Linked DNA regions of Arabidopsis thaliana. Changing the gene in region 1 together with any one later gene gives a genetic interaction. Each region holds a gene or a part of one and is shown on either strand. Other genes may lie near its edges. The genes, in order: KINESIN-13A and AN.

Region 1 (8,597 bases):
TTTTGTATCCTCGTTACTTTTAAATCCACAAGACACTAAATTAAATGGGAGTGAAACTAATATTTTCCAAATCGTAGGTATATTTTGCTCATAGGAATTCAGAAAATACAAAGAAGAATCTATTGATATTGAGGAGAAAAAGTGATGGCGAGAATCTAACCTGGTTAGAGAAGGCAAAAGTCTGGAAAGAAAAAAAAACAACTTCATGCGCTTTTTTTGTATTTGTATAAATCGCCTTTTACTCGCCTGCGACAGTGCGACTACGACGGGAAGGAGAAGGAGATAAGCGACTTTCATGGACGGTTTAAATCGGTTTGGGTTTTAACATCGGACGGTGGAAAATGGCTCTTATATTGCAATCGTGAAAAAGGCATGTCACGTGATCAATAGTAAAGTGTGGGCCAAGGCCTTTTTAGTTGGGCTGCATAATCTTGTTGGCCATTTTATCTTTACGACAAGAGAGAATTGCTTTATTTGTTCTTTTGGAGCTATTCAACTGTCTTTTCATTGGTTGTCACTATATAGATGGTATTTGAAGATCTTATTAATTGTTAGAAATTTGATTTTATATATGGCTCACCAAATTTTGAAACATTTTCAGATGATAAATGGTTTTATACTTTTTCAGTTGATTGATAAAAGAGTTTGATTCACATTGACAGTATCCAGCTTTCTGGGAGGATAGAGGAGAAGAGAAAAATAAGAAACACAAAAGGTATAACTTTATAATAAAGATTCAAAAATAAAAGGAAAGAAATGCCCAAATTCACAAACATGAAGGACATTTCTGTCATTCTTTGTCATATATAAGAAGAGATCACCCAACCAACCTTTCACACTTAAACAACACCACACTTTTGGTTTTCCTTCTTCTACCAACTACCGAGGAACTCTCTTACGGCTCAGTATTTCTTGTTCCTTGAGACGGTGTTGGAACCGAGCAAGCCTGGCTTGAAGACTGACTAGCCCTGCTGCTTTCCGGGACAACACAAAGCTCAGTTGCGTCACATAGTTTTCTATCATGCTTCCCGGTTGGTCCACCTCCGCTAGAAGTTTCATTTCCTGATAATGATATAACAGAAAAGAAAATTGAATGATGTGATAACATTCTACAATCGTTTTTTGTGCGCTGCAATGATGTGATTTACATACCTCGCGAACAATCTCCATTGTATCCTCAATTTCTTTTCTGTGCGCTGCAATCAGAGCTTCTTCTTCCTGAAAAAAGTCATGTGATGGTTACGATAAGACATAAACAGAACTACCGTTACTTGCAAATCAAATTCACAGCTTCATCTCATGTTTTAAAGGGATAGGTGAGTACTTTACCTCAAGCAGTGCATCGAGGTTTTCATCAAGCGAAGGGTCGGTTTCATATTGCCTTGAAGCGGTTTCATATTGCCTTGAAGCAGTTTCACTTGCGTTCTGTCTAAAATTTGTCAAGGTAGGGATATCCGACGAACTGACATCTCTTTTAGACCAATTTTGTGGTCTGTCTGGTTTTTCTTCCCGCAACCCTTTCCCACGAGGTGGTGACACTTTCTTTACTTTCTCTTCACGGTCTGAAGTTTCTTGGGGATATGAAGAAATGTTGTTTCTCTGACTAGTGGAGCCAGCAAAAGAACTGTTCGGCTCTGATCTTCCCTTGTCCATTGAGAATGATGGGATTCCACTTTCCTCTCGATAATTTGTAGGCTGTCTGAAGTCAATACCCGACGTACTGCTGTTGCTGTCCTTCTCGACCACCCTCCTCCTGGTTTCTGGTACATTCACTTCCTGTGGAGGCTCAAAGACATCTTCTACATCATTTGGGCCCAACAAAGGATCCTTATTAACCGGAGGCATTGAATTCGCAGTTTGATCTTTCTTGCTATTTCCACTTTTAGATAGACTTTTGACTCTGTTTATTCCATACATAACCAACAGAGGTTAATAGACGATGAAATTGAGAATTTGTTTCACAAGAGGCTATAGTTTGTACAAAACATACCGATCAGCATATCTTAGAGTATTGAGGGTATGTTCACACGATCCTGCATTTGGAGAGATGCAGGAAATCATCACCGTTCTTGAGTTTCCAACAAATGAGTCACGGAGCACTTCCGTTAGTTTGCTTCCACGAAATGGTATATGTAGCTGGTCATTGTCCAGTGCACGTATACATTCCTTAAGAGCCAAGAGACTCTTGTTGATTTCTGCGCCTTCAATCCTAAGAAAAATCCACAATGAAAACAATGAAGCATTTAGATCTGAAGTGTGGTGGTCCTAAAGTAAAAAGGTAGCAGCAAAGTGCCACTTTATCAATGCCCACAAGTCCAACAGAGGCATAAATTTTAATCTACACATTAGTGGTAGGTCAATTCTCAAACTACTCAATCACAGGGGCAAAGAGAATCTTTACCTTGTCTGGCGATCATTGTCTGTGGTGTCTGCACCTCTTTCACTGCCAGCAAGGTCAATGAAAGAAATCTTTCCCACAACTTTCCCAGGCAATTCATTACTATCATTATTCCTCCGTCTAGTGTCTTTTACCTCAACATGCTTTTTTACAACAAGCTGTAGGATGGCATGCGATCTAGAAGATTCCTCATTTGCTCCAGTTGAACCTGTGCTCCTTTCGGCATTTCCTTTCTCGATAAAATCCTTTACAATTTGTACATCTGAAACTTCATATTCTTGCAGGCCAACAATGCAAACTTGCTGTCTACCATCTTCTCGCATGCAAAGTTTCCTACTCGGCAATAACTGAATGATTTAGACAATGGTAAACATGCATTTGCGATAGTAGTAGACAACAATGGAAAGTATTGACACTGATAGGATGAATAAGTGCCAATGTTTACGATATACTGACATCGAAATAACAATTATAAGCTAGTATATGCCTGAACAAAGTATATGCCAAAAGAAAAGGAAAACATAAAACCCCTCAACAAAGACGACATTTATAAGAAATGAGAAAAAGAAAGAACACTAACTTTCTCTCACTGAGAAGATCGAACAGCTTTCCACCATATATCTCAAAATAGCTGAGCCACAATTTAAACCTCTGATTGCTGTATACTGGTTGACGCAACAACCTCATAAGATCTTCAACTGCTCGTATAGGTAATGGTTTCATTGTAAATGTCTTACCACTACCTGAATAAGCAAAACATCATTAGGGCCATGAAAGCATGAAGAAACTATTAATCTATTATCCTCTAAAAACTGGAATCTGTTAGCAAGAGTATAACTATCAGTGTATTTCCCAATGAACATTAATGTCATTGCATACCTGTTTGGCCATATGCAAAGCATGTAGCTTTAGTTCTCTGGAAAATAATGGGAATTATTGGCTCAATTGTGGCCCGATACACCTATTCAAGGAAACAAACAAACATGTTCAAAGCAGCATAAAGCTTCTGTATATATAAAAAGCTTAATGTATCCATACATCAATCCAATCTGGATTGGGGGAAACCACATGCTATGATCTAGTTAATAGGTCAATCAGGTATGTCGACCTTGACATAAATCATAAATCTACCAAAGCTCAAGGTTGCATCACGGACACCTAATAGGATTTTCTATGGTTTCCAATAAGCTCAATTCTTAACTTACCTCGTCATTTGAAACATCCTCATCTAGAACAGCATCAAAGCAGAACTCATGCTTTTCCACATAAGCAGTCAAATCAACCTGCACCAACAAGATTACGGTTCATTCAATATTCGAAAAGACAATATTAAATGAAAAGAATATATGACCTTTAATAGCAGGATGCCATCGTTCAGTTGTTCAACTGAATCATGTTTGCCATTGTTATCTATGATGAAGAATGCACACAAACCTTCACTCTGGGCTCATGGACAGTCAAAGAATTATCAGATACCGTCACGACATCCTCCTCCTTTTTAGCTGTTTCTTTCTTGTTTAGGGGTCTTTTCCTTACCTATAGACAAAAAAAAAAGTGGTTTCCCAATCATCCCTAGTCATAATGAACGTTGCTTATAAAACAATCAAGTAGTAAGGAAACATGTCAGTTCTCAAGTGAATGACCTACCACTACTTTAATCTTGGCTACACTGTTATTTTCTTTATCACTTTTAGGCAATAAACCCAAAGGTTCAGCTTCTGTCTGTTGCCGCTGTTGACGATTAGCTGCCAAATTATAGTCTTCTTCAAATTCTTTATTTACACTAGGCATGAAAGGTGACGGCTCAAAGGGTTCGGTAATCACATGCTGCAAAATGAAAGGAAAGTCACGTATCATAAAAGTTGGTAACTTTCACATGGATAATCGCTTTCTTTATGAACTAGCAAATGCAACAAGCAGTTATTTAGCTCAGATGCTTTTCTAATGACAACAAGACCAAAACTGTCACATCTCGCTAAATCCATTCGAGTGTCAAGATCAGAAGTTGCCTACAGAAGTCTCGCAGATAGATTACATGTGCACAAAGCCAATGGATTAGGTGGGACTCAATATGGCAATGTAAGATTGGCAAGAACAGTTTGAAAACTGGGATGTAACACAAGAACAGACAATCTGATGATGAAAATTTATGATCTTTCTGTTATCCATGGGCACTAATGAGTAACTATGAATAAGTCTTTGCACTAGTTCTTCTTCCAAGCATACCTCAGATAGAAGCTCTGTATCATCCATTGCATGAAGATCCAATAATCCTGCTCCAAAATCACCTCTGAACTCAGGTGAAAAAAATCCTTCCGAAGAGGGCATAGCTGCTGATGTGTGAGCAGTTGGTGTATATGATTCAGAAGTCGACTCCCCATTAAAATTGAGATTTCTCATTAGTTGGAACAGTCTTTGTTTCTCTTCAGCAGTCTGAGCTCCATAACCCTAGCAGATACCGCAAACACCACAAAGGATGCTTCAAATATCAGAACCCGTTCATGCGAATTATACAAGAGCCAAGGCAAAAGTTTCTATAGAAATTTACCAATCGAAGAAGAAATCACTAACAACCCTGCAGCAAACATCTAACTTAATCACATTACATAAATGGCCAAACAAATTCCAAGCTCTCCTTGAGATACGTTATGACTAATATCCATAACAGGGAGAAACAATCCTACATTCCTAATTTCCTACTGCAGCGTTTTTAGTAGTCTAACACCAAATGTGCGCAGGAATTAGCGACCGAAAACTCTAACAAAACTTGGCTATCTGCGTCTAATACAAAATTTGCATACTTTACCAAGCTAGGGCAAACTCCATCAAGAAAACTAAAGGGCATGCAAAATATTGGAAGAGTACAGAAACAAAGAATCAGGGAAAGCAATTACCTGCATGAGAAGGTTTGGGAGGTGACGCTGATCATTGCCTGTAGAAGCAACAGGAGACGCCAAATGCTGCAAACCAGCGGATTGAAGCCACCGTGCCATGACTGCATCTCCTGCGTCATTAGTGGGTAAAGCCCCATCGTAAAGCGCCGTCGCAGCCGCAGCATTGTTTTGCTGCATTTGGCCGCCCATGAGGCGCTGTGATCTTCTTTGAGGAGCCAACTTCGGAGATCTGTAAAAACAACTCTTCATCCATACAAAAACCAGAATCACCCATTTGTTACAAATCAAAAAATTCCTAATTTCAACAATAGAATGTTAGATTCAAATCGAAGAGAAACTCACAATGTGGAGAGAATTCGGATTCAACACAGAACATGAAAGCGGAAATGTACAGCTCCCGACTTTGCTTCACCTCCTTCAAAATCTGAAATTCAATCAATAAATTGCATCCAATAATCGGAGAAGAAGATCGATGTTATCCAAAGTAATGATTACCAGAAGGAAACGAAGACACGCAACGGTGTTAGATAAGAGATCTGAGATCTGAGATTTTCACAATATACAATCAGATCCGACGAGTGAAGAACCCTAATTTACGCACATCGAATAGCGTTAGAGATAGAGAGATAGAGAGATAGAGAGAGAGAGCTTCTGTTCAAAATTTTCGTCTTCTTCCGTAAGCGACGTTAGGCGCAGAGAGATGAGAAAGAGAGGGGCGTTGAAGAAGATTTGACAAAGTATAAGACACTTACACAATAAATTAAAAAGTTTGAGGTGTTTAAAAGTTTTTTAAAAAAGTGACAGTTAGATCACCCTTTAACTTCAGAAATATTCACCGATTTGTCCTACTTTTTAAGATTGTACAGTCTAGTCCAAAACATTTGAAACAATCTTCTTTGAACGGTCTTATATATTCTAAAAGATAGTGTTGAAATATTATTTTTTTGCTGAGATCGTGACACAAGGACATATACCAACATGGTGACATAAAAATAGAATTGATGTTCTCATCTTGAATCATACGGTATGAATCTCATACCTTTTTGAGCAGATTGCATAAACATTGATTGGTTTATTATATATGTAGTATAACTAATAATATAACCTTGGTGGGTTGATCAGTTATGTGCATTTTCAGATTTTAGCTACTTTATGGTATTTAAGGATGTTGTTTTGGACCATCTATGGTAATAGAGATGAAATTTGAAATTGTCCGAGGAAGATGACATGAGTTTTTCTCGACATGAAATCCACAACTTTTGGAATTTTAGTACATGACAATGATCTAATCTTATATATTCTTATGTTTGTTTAAATTTTTATACGGTTTCAAATTTTGAATTGTTTAGATGTGCGAATATAAGTGAGTGTATATCAAAAGTACCAATCTTGTGTATGTATGTGTACTGTTTAAACCCCAAAAAAAAGTGTTAATCCAATAAAATATACGAACGAGAATATGCAAAAGTAGCGAAGTGGGGCTAATACAGCTTGTGGGTTCCTTTCTTTTGAATCAAAAAGCTTTTGCTTTAGCCTAAAGCATTCCGATCTAAAGGATTCCTGATTTTAAGTAATCACTATATAAACCAGTATGAAAGGAGCTTTTCCTTTATTTATCCTTCCTAAAAACATTGGTCTCTCTAGTTTTGTGTAAGTTTAGATGATCTACCTCCTTTGTATGGCTACGTCAATATAGTCATATAGATAGAAGTTGATACTACTTGTTACATAAGAAATGTTTAAATAGTGTAGGCTAAAAGCCTAAAACGAAAGGAACAACAAAGTTTGAAGAAATAATGACGATAAATACATAAGATACAAGAGAGTTGGAGCAACGTCAAACCGACCAAGACCAAATCACGTTTCCTTTTACGTGAGACACAAATACGTACCAACGCATTTTGGTTGCCCTCTCATCCATACGGACACCACACATACATAAATAAATAGTTCGAATAATAAAACCAACAAACTAAAAGAATAGTAAAGCATAGGATAGGTTGTGTTGTTTGTCAAAGTAAAAGAATACACATAATACATTATTATTACGGCCACATTGTGATTTGTCTCACAACTAAAACCAAGATGACAGAACTCTAGTTAGTATCGATTCCGCACGTGAGATAGAAATCCTTGATAAGGAGCAGAACATGCCTATGATGATGTCTCAAGACATCATGTCTGTACGAAACTTTTTCTTTTTAAAGGGATAAAACACCATTAGACTAAAGTCAAAAGAATCATTCTACAGCATATTCCATGATTTAAAGTTACTAACAGTTAGAGTAACCCACTCGTTTATTCACGTCCATAAGATCTGAATCCAAAATTATTAGACATCTACTATAAACATGCCTCGAGATTCGGGAGTTTAATTTAGAAAAGCAAAGCTGAAGAGATATCACACCAAATAACACAAAAAGTAACGACCAAAATTCAACTAATTGTAAATGATAAACCGTTTTTTGCGGAATAAATAACTTGAGAATCTTCCAACACAGAAAACAAGAAGAGAGAAAAGTAAACTGGCAGGTAATTTTAATAGGGGACGACGACGAAACACAGGACAATATAAAGAAACATAAACTTAGAGAGTCGCTGCGACCGACCACAGTAACCCAACGAGAGCTTCTCTCTCAGCACTTGACCTCCTTCAAACCATGAGCGAAGTACAAAAATGTTGGGTTAGTTGAACCCTCCTTGTAGTAAGCAAAGACCAAAGTGCTGTCATCATGCATACCCTCCCCAACAAAGCTGTAAAATCAGACAACACAAGCATTGATGAGATTTCAGATGAAATATATGTCATGTATAACAAGCAAGATACGATAGATTGGGGTAACTTACAATTGGAAGTCACTGAGCCTGGGGAGCAAAAACTTGGTAGCTCCCTCAATACCCTTCTTGAAGACAGCTTGATCTTCTTCGCTGAGCTTGGGTGTCAAAAGCTTAATGTATTTCTTAATGTAAGCGATGAATCCCTTCTTGTCATAAGTTGGTTGCTCCTGAAGTCTGAAGGTGTCGACAATGTCAACAACCTTTTGAGTAGAGTCATCAACACCTTCATCCTCACCACCTTCTTCAGCAGATGGATTGGCACCAATGTTAACATCTACAGCTCCCACAGTAACCCACTGGATAACAAAATCAAAACCCAATTCAGAACAGGAAAACAAAAATTTAACAAAATCAAAACAAAACTTGAAGTAGAATCGATGACACTGACCTTTCCTTCTACTTCCCAGAGGATTCCATTCTCAATCTCCTTGTAAGGGAAAGAGTCAGACAGAAGCTCATCACCTGTA
Region 2 (6,096 bases), on another chromosome or scaffold:
TATAAGTAGTCATGTTGAAATAATGCGTTTGAAGAAGAAAGAGTAACTGCATCAAAAACATAACCATGAGAAAATGAGATAAAGTAACAAAAGCGGAAGTAGAAAGATAAAAGGTTTAAGGTTGCCACATTTAGGAGCTTTTTGTGGATATGGGTGATTGGCTTTCCTCTTTGGTCGAGGAGGTGGGAGATGTTCTTTAGTCCCATTCTTCTGAACTTTGAGAAAGTACTTCTGTGCGTGGCTTCGTATCTACAAAACCAATATTCTAGTTACTATCCAACATACATAGAACTTATATCTCCAATTCCACCCCAAAGAACAGAGTTCATAAAATTACTTATATGTAACTTCAGACAAAAGTATGGAATGCATATGTTTGATTGATTACCTGTATCACTGTTTTTGATCCAACAAAGGCCTTTATTTTCTTCCAATCCCGGTCAAATCTGCAATCAAATAGACATGATCATATCAGAAGAAGAAGAACAAATCTCAAAGATTCTATATATCATTAATCAGATAAATGAAGGCAGAGAAGTGAAATCCGTGTCAACATACAGATGAAGGGCTTCAAGGAACTTGTCGTGTTCTTGCTCCGTCCAGTTCTCTCTAGATTTGGTGATAGTGTAAGGCTTTCTAACCTTCTTTGTTGGATCCTCAAAAAACGACATCGTCCTATTGCTCCGTATGGAAACCGGTATCGTTGTTGCCGTGTGGGGAAGAGTATTGAAACCCGGTAGACTCATTTTCATAGGCAAACAATGAGCTTGGCTAGGGTTTACAGTCACCATAAAACTCGACAACACACACAAAGTTCCCTTTTGGTTTGAAACAGAGTTTGTGACTTGAGAGACTTGTGTGAGAGTGGTGGTGGTATAAGCGGGAGAGGGAGACAAGGTTAGAAGTGTAATCTCATTCGAAAAATGGATTTAAGCCGAACACGTGTAAGGAGCCGGTTGCTCTGGTTCAGAGCGTGGGACTAACAACTACAAGCCATGTGGACATTCTCCTAACACTCATGCCACGTACAAATTTAAATCCACGGCACATAAATTGCCACGTGGAATACGATCGTAAGCCAGCAATCTTATTTACGAGATAGCTGCCTAGCTGGGGCCTGGTTCGACTAAAAATGAAGGTTACTTTCTTTTGTAGTTTAGCTCAAATTTTAGTTATGTACGATGATGTGTTTTATGTACGATGATCTCTAAAACACAAACGCAGCATATACAAATACAATACACACACCTATTTCAAACTACTAACCAAACACACAATGCTTTCGAGTTCATCACGACCAGACCCAGAAAACAACAACAAACGTCCCTCTAAGACAAGCTCATCGGATGTTTCTGCAAACCGAGAATAAATAAAAAGAAACAATGATTACAGATATAAGTTGGTTGATACCAACTACACAACACACGACACAGTCTCGAAACACAAAAATTGGGTGTCTCTGTTTTTCGTCTGTGAATCCTAAGGATGTTAAAGTAACAAAAGTAATTAAAAGAGAGAAACTCACAAATGGAGAGACTCTGTTTTTCTTTTTAATCGATCCAACGTGTGATACCATCGTCTCCTACCATTGCCAATATCTCCACACGAACGTCCAACACCGCCTGCAACATTCATTACACAAATTATTTCTGTTTTCCAAGAAGTAGGGTTTTTCAATTTCGGGCCATTTTCTGTAAGGACAGAGACTTACAGAGGAATTCCTGCAGTTAACAAGCCGACATTCGTCCAGAGAACCTTCTAGACTCCAACTCTCCCACACGTCAAAACTATGGCTAGCAAACACAAACTCCATTCTTCTATTGATCTGCACACACACACACCCATGACACAACCACTTTTAGATTCCATAAGAGCAACATTGAGTTACCAATGGAAGTAACACTCTCTAATGTAAGAGCTACCTGCAGTAACTTCCCACCAGCAGCAAATGATCTCAGACCAACAGTGTCCTGGAAAACAAGTTCATGCACCAAAACCAATTTATAATGGTCTATCTGGCATTGTAAGCAAGATAAATGAAAAGTAAGAGAGAGAAAAAGGTTTACCTTGTTTCTGTATGCGATAATGAATTGTGCAGCAGGATCTCGTTTGGATACATTGGACAAAGTATCGAGGAACCAGCCACCGTTTTTCGTTCTTTGCCTGGAAACGTGGAGGCCCGAGAGGTCTTTCGCATACAAGGCTACTACATATCCATCTTTCAGTAGCTCACTTGACTTTCCAATGAACTTCTTACTTGACATTACAAGCTGATTTGGGGAAGACTCTTGCATTACTTCAAGAGGTGTTTTCCTACTTCTGGAATCTTCAGGAGAAGCACATCTAGAACTGGAACTTAATACTTCTTCTGTGTCACTCATAGCAATATCATCTCTTCGTGAAGTACTTTCTTCATTTAACCCTGAGGAACCATCCGTTTTTTGCATGTATTTTTGCTGTGAATGTCTCTTTTTGGCTTTCTTACCGGATCTGCTACGTCTTCCTTCAGGTTTTACGGCAGTATTTTGAGAAACGTGTTGCTGACCAGGGCTCAGAGATTCTTTTAACTCACTAGCCTCTCTACGTACGATCTCAGTGCTGGTGAGAGTACTTTCTCCCTGTTGCCTACTGGTGGATTCCACTATTGCTAATTTCTCGTGTTTGCTAGGTGATTGTTCTTCTTCTTCACTTGCTTCACTTTCCTCAACTTCCTCATCAGAAACAGTGTTACTTGGAATTACACCATCTAAGAAAAATGAATGCAAGATAGAGATAGCCTTCTCCCTTATCTCCATCCATACTTCCTCACTGTAATCTGCACTGCGAGGTAGAATTAACACATTTGGCATTTCCTTCACCTGCAATGAAAACAAGATATAATGGATGCAGGATAAACAACAGAAGAAGATGATGAAACAAGAGAATAGGCAGGCGCAAATGTGAAGTTTAGTCACTGGAAAAGAAAGTCATACCCATGCTTCCATCCATTGTGGACCTTCAGCACCGTCAAGGGCGCAGCCAGCTATAGTGCCATCAATTAGAAGTTGTTTCACAGCACAATCATCCAACAGCTGGCAGCTTCCAGTATTTACAAGAAAAGCCCCTAATACATAAAATCAACCAGAATTGAAGGGAATGCGAGAAAGCAGAAGTTCATCTTCAATTCACATTCATGGAGAATCAAATTTCATTTGACAAGAAAACTCATACCAGGTTTTATATGCTGCAAACACTCTGCATTGAGTATCTGAACCGTGTCATTTGTTAATGCACAATGTAGCGAAATGACATCACTTGCTGCTAGAAGATCATTCAATGTATCCATTCTTCGAGCAGCACGTGGGAATCTCGAGGGCCTGATTCGTTCTTCATCTCCCTGAACAGACGCAAACGCAACTATTGACAACAAATATAACATCCAAGGGAGAGGAACTTGAAAGAGAGCCATCATAGTAAGCAGTTTAGGAATGTAGTAGCTAAGAACTCAGCACTTTTTTTGGTCCCTAAAGAGTCAGTTTACACTAAGATATTAAAAGCTTAGCGAGACATTGCCAACAAACATACCTCTGGGACATCGAAGTAGAGCACACTCATCTTGAAAGCCAAGCTTCTACTAGCTAAATACCGAGCCGATACAGATCTGCCAACGATACCCAAAACCATACCACGGCACCGTCTCATTCCCCGGCAAAGAGGCTGAAGCGATCCGAGCCAACCAGACGCCGATAGAGCGTGTCGCGAGAGTAAATGCGTCCGTCGAAGGAGTCCAAGGATGAGCGCCATGACGGTATCCGCGATTTCCTCGGCTCGTGAAGTATCTACATGGACAAGTCGGAGACCTAGGTCGGCGGCGAGAGTCGAATCGACAGCGCGATCAGCAGAGCCAAGGCAGAGAATGAGCTGGTGAGGACGGAGTCGGCGTTGAGCTGCTCGTGGAAGATACGCGAGGGAATGGAGGAGAACGGCGGTGGCGGACTCGATCTTACCATCGGCGATGCGGCTGAGCGGGACGTATTCGACACCAGCAACGCCGGCGAGGGAGTCTTGCTCGAGCGCACAATCCTCTATACAGTTGAGTGTAACGACGTGAGGCGACGCCGGTGACGGCTGGTCGCGATGTGGCATTGTCGCAGACGAACGGATCTTGCTCATCTCCTCCTTCTTCTCGCTACTCTCGAGGAGTGAAATTTTGATTTTGGGAACATAATGATTTAGGGTTCAATGTTGTAAACTCTTACAAAATTAAGGGGCTAAATTTCATTTATAATAATTTTCAGGGCCCAAAATACAATTTAAACAAATTGACAATAATTTTTTAGTCCAATGCTCATGCTCCCCCGATAAGACGTCATCGGTTTGACATTTATGATAAACGACGCCGTCTTCCACTTGGCTTGTTGTAATAATTTAATTTACTAATTGCAAACAGATACTGAATACAGGTGAAACATGTACATTCCCTATTCCACATTATTTCCTGACCAGAAACCGAAAGACAAACTCCAGCGTTTGACAACAACAACAATAACACGAAATCTCTTTCTACACAAGAGCAACGACATAGACAGACTTGAGAAAAGAAAGAACAAAAGAACATGACTGGAGCAAGATGGGAACTCTCTTTTGTGCTACTAAAGTATATGAACAGAGCCGAATATATATATATATTCAAAAGGACACAAACAGGTGAAAACCAAAAGCTCTATACATCTATCTACCAAAATTCTATCTCTTTTATAACCCACTACGTTACCGACATTCTTAGTAGATCTCGAAATGTCTAAGTGGGTTTTTAGTTTATGGTAGGTGATGATCAGAGAAACCTCCTACGAAGGTTACTAGTTGTTGCTTGATACGAACGCATGAGTAATCCAACTCCAATGCCTACACCAAGACACATCCCAAGGCCTATCCCAACTCCGACTCTGACTCCTGCATTGAACCATGAGAGCTGACCATCCTCATCAACGTACATTCCTTCAGGGTAATATCTCTGTGCCATTTTCATATCTGAGTCATCGTATTCATCAACTTCTGATTCCATCATCTGCATAAACGAAACGACAAACAAGATAAAGCACCAAAAAAAGTGCAAAGAGAGTCTATTGACCTATATCCATATCTCAATTTCTGATCAGTCAACAATTCTACAATTTTCAAATTCAGCTGTAGAGTCAAAGAAAACATTCAAGCAGGAGCTAAATTCACCAGAAACTTGCGAGTGATCTTAATAACTAAATATCTGCTACAGCATTCATAACTCACAAAACTAGACGAAAGAAGCAACCTTTTCAAATCTCAATCCCAAGTTATTAAGAATCGTAACTTAAGGGCTTGGACAATCACCAAACAGAGAATTGTGAAATCAGAATCATACCTGTACTTTGCTTTGACGGGCCAATTCATCACCAATGGTACCAATGTCTTGCTCTTTGCCAACTTCCTCATCCTCAGGGATAGCGTCGAGTGTCACGTGCCTAGCCACCTTCCTCCTCGGACTCGCCTGAATCGTCTTGGTCAATATCACCGGGACACCACCACAACAACCAGCTATATAAACCTCGACGGACGGAGACGAGACTCCAAACTTTGGCTGGAAAAACACAGAGGCAGAAGGACCTGACACGTGTCCGTTTCCCATAGCAATGTAACAATCCATGCCCCATCCAGTCTTGGGATCACTCACAGTTCCATTGTTCCAAGCACCTTCGATTCTATCTAGGTTCCCACACAAGACCATATCCTCGTTATCATAAACCTCGAAATCAACGCATCCGGTAACGCGAACGGTCTCAGTGCTCACGTAAGTCACCTCCGACGATTCCCGGTCGACTCTGTCACGGCGGAGTTTAAGCGACGCCGTCTGCGACGAAGGAACGCGAACGCCGTTAACCTCAAGAGAAGCACCGGTTTCGCGACGAGGGTGACGGAGGGTGAGGAAGTCAGGGACGTTCTCAACGACGCAAGGAGCGATACGGACGTAGAACAAACGAACCTCCAGCCACGCCGATTGCGACAACGAAATTGATGATGCCGGAGACGGCGGCGATACGGTGGAGGTATTCATGTGGTACGATTTGGTTGTACCCAGAGGAT

Evidence for each region.
Region 2: of KINESIN-13A (region 1) and AN, changing one suppresses a phenotype caused by changing the other (phenotypic suppression), as found in Arabidopsis thaliana (one study listed by BioGRID).

Annotation. Positions count from the first base shown.
Region 1 is NC_003074.8:5,661,781-5,670,377, forward strand, and holds KINESIN-13A (P-loop containing nucleoside triphosphate hydrolases superfamily protein), read right to left. Parts: upstream 6,172-8,597; 5' UTR 5,788-6,171; intron 5,717-5,787; 5' UTR 5,635-5,716; intron 5,536-5,634; 5' UTR 5,482-5,535; coding exon 5,293-5,481; intron 4,847-5,292; coding exon 4,625-4,846; intron 4,226-4,624; coding exon 4,046-4,225; intron 3,935-4,045; coding exon 3,833-3,934; intron 3,682-3,832; coding exon 3,604-3,681; intron 3,360-3,603; coding exon 3,278-3,359; intron 3,142-3,277; coding exon 2,979-3,141; intron 2,732-2,978; coding exon 2,402-2,731; intron 2,210-2,401; coding exon 1,991-2,209; intron 1,901-1,990; coding exon 1,330-1,900; intron 1,219-1,329; coding exon 1,153-1,218; intron 1,063-1,152; coding exon 880-1,062; 3' UTR 595-879; downstream 1-594. Other genes in the region: TCTP (translationally controlled tumor protein), read right to left, coding at 7,929-8,046, 8,140-8,426, 8,519-8,592. UniProt on the Arabidopsis thaliana protein: Internal motor kinesin involved in trichome morphogenesis. Participates in regulating the formation of Golgi-associated vesicles.
Region 2 is NC_003070.9:185,291-191,386, reverse strand, and holds AN (NAD(P)-binding Rossmann-fold superfamily protein), read right to left. Parts: upstream 4,243-6,096; 5' UTR 4,153-4,242; coding exon 3,565-4,152; intron 3,377-3,564; coding exon 3,211-3,376; intron 3,104-3,210; coding exon 2,973-3,103; intron 2,859-2,972; coding exon 2,067-2,858; intron 1,971-2,066; coding exon 1,923-1,970; intron 1,826-1,922; coding exon 1,712-1,825; intron 1,623-1,711; coding exon 1,551-1,622; 3' UTR 915-1,550; downstream 1-914. Other genes in the region: ASG4 (Homeodomain-like superfamily protein), read right to left, coding at 1-46, 129-249, 389-446, 559-791; AT1G01500 (Erythronate-4-phosphate dehydrogenase family protein), read right to left, coding at 4,814-5,047, 5,378-6,096. UniProt on the Arabidopsis thaliana protein: Involved in controlling the equilibrium between tubular and stacked structures in the Golgi complex. Required for cortical microtubules (MTs) arrangement that confers cell shape.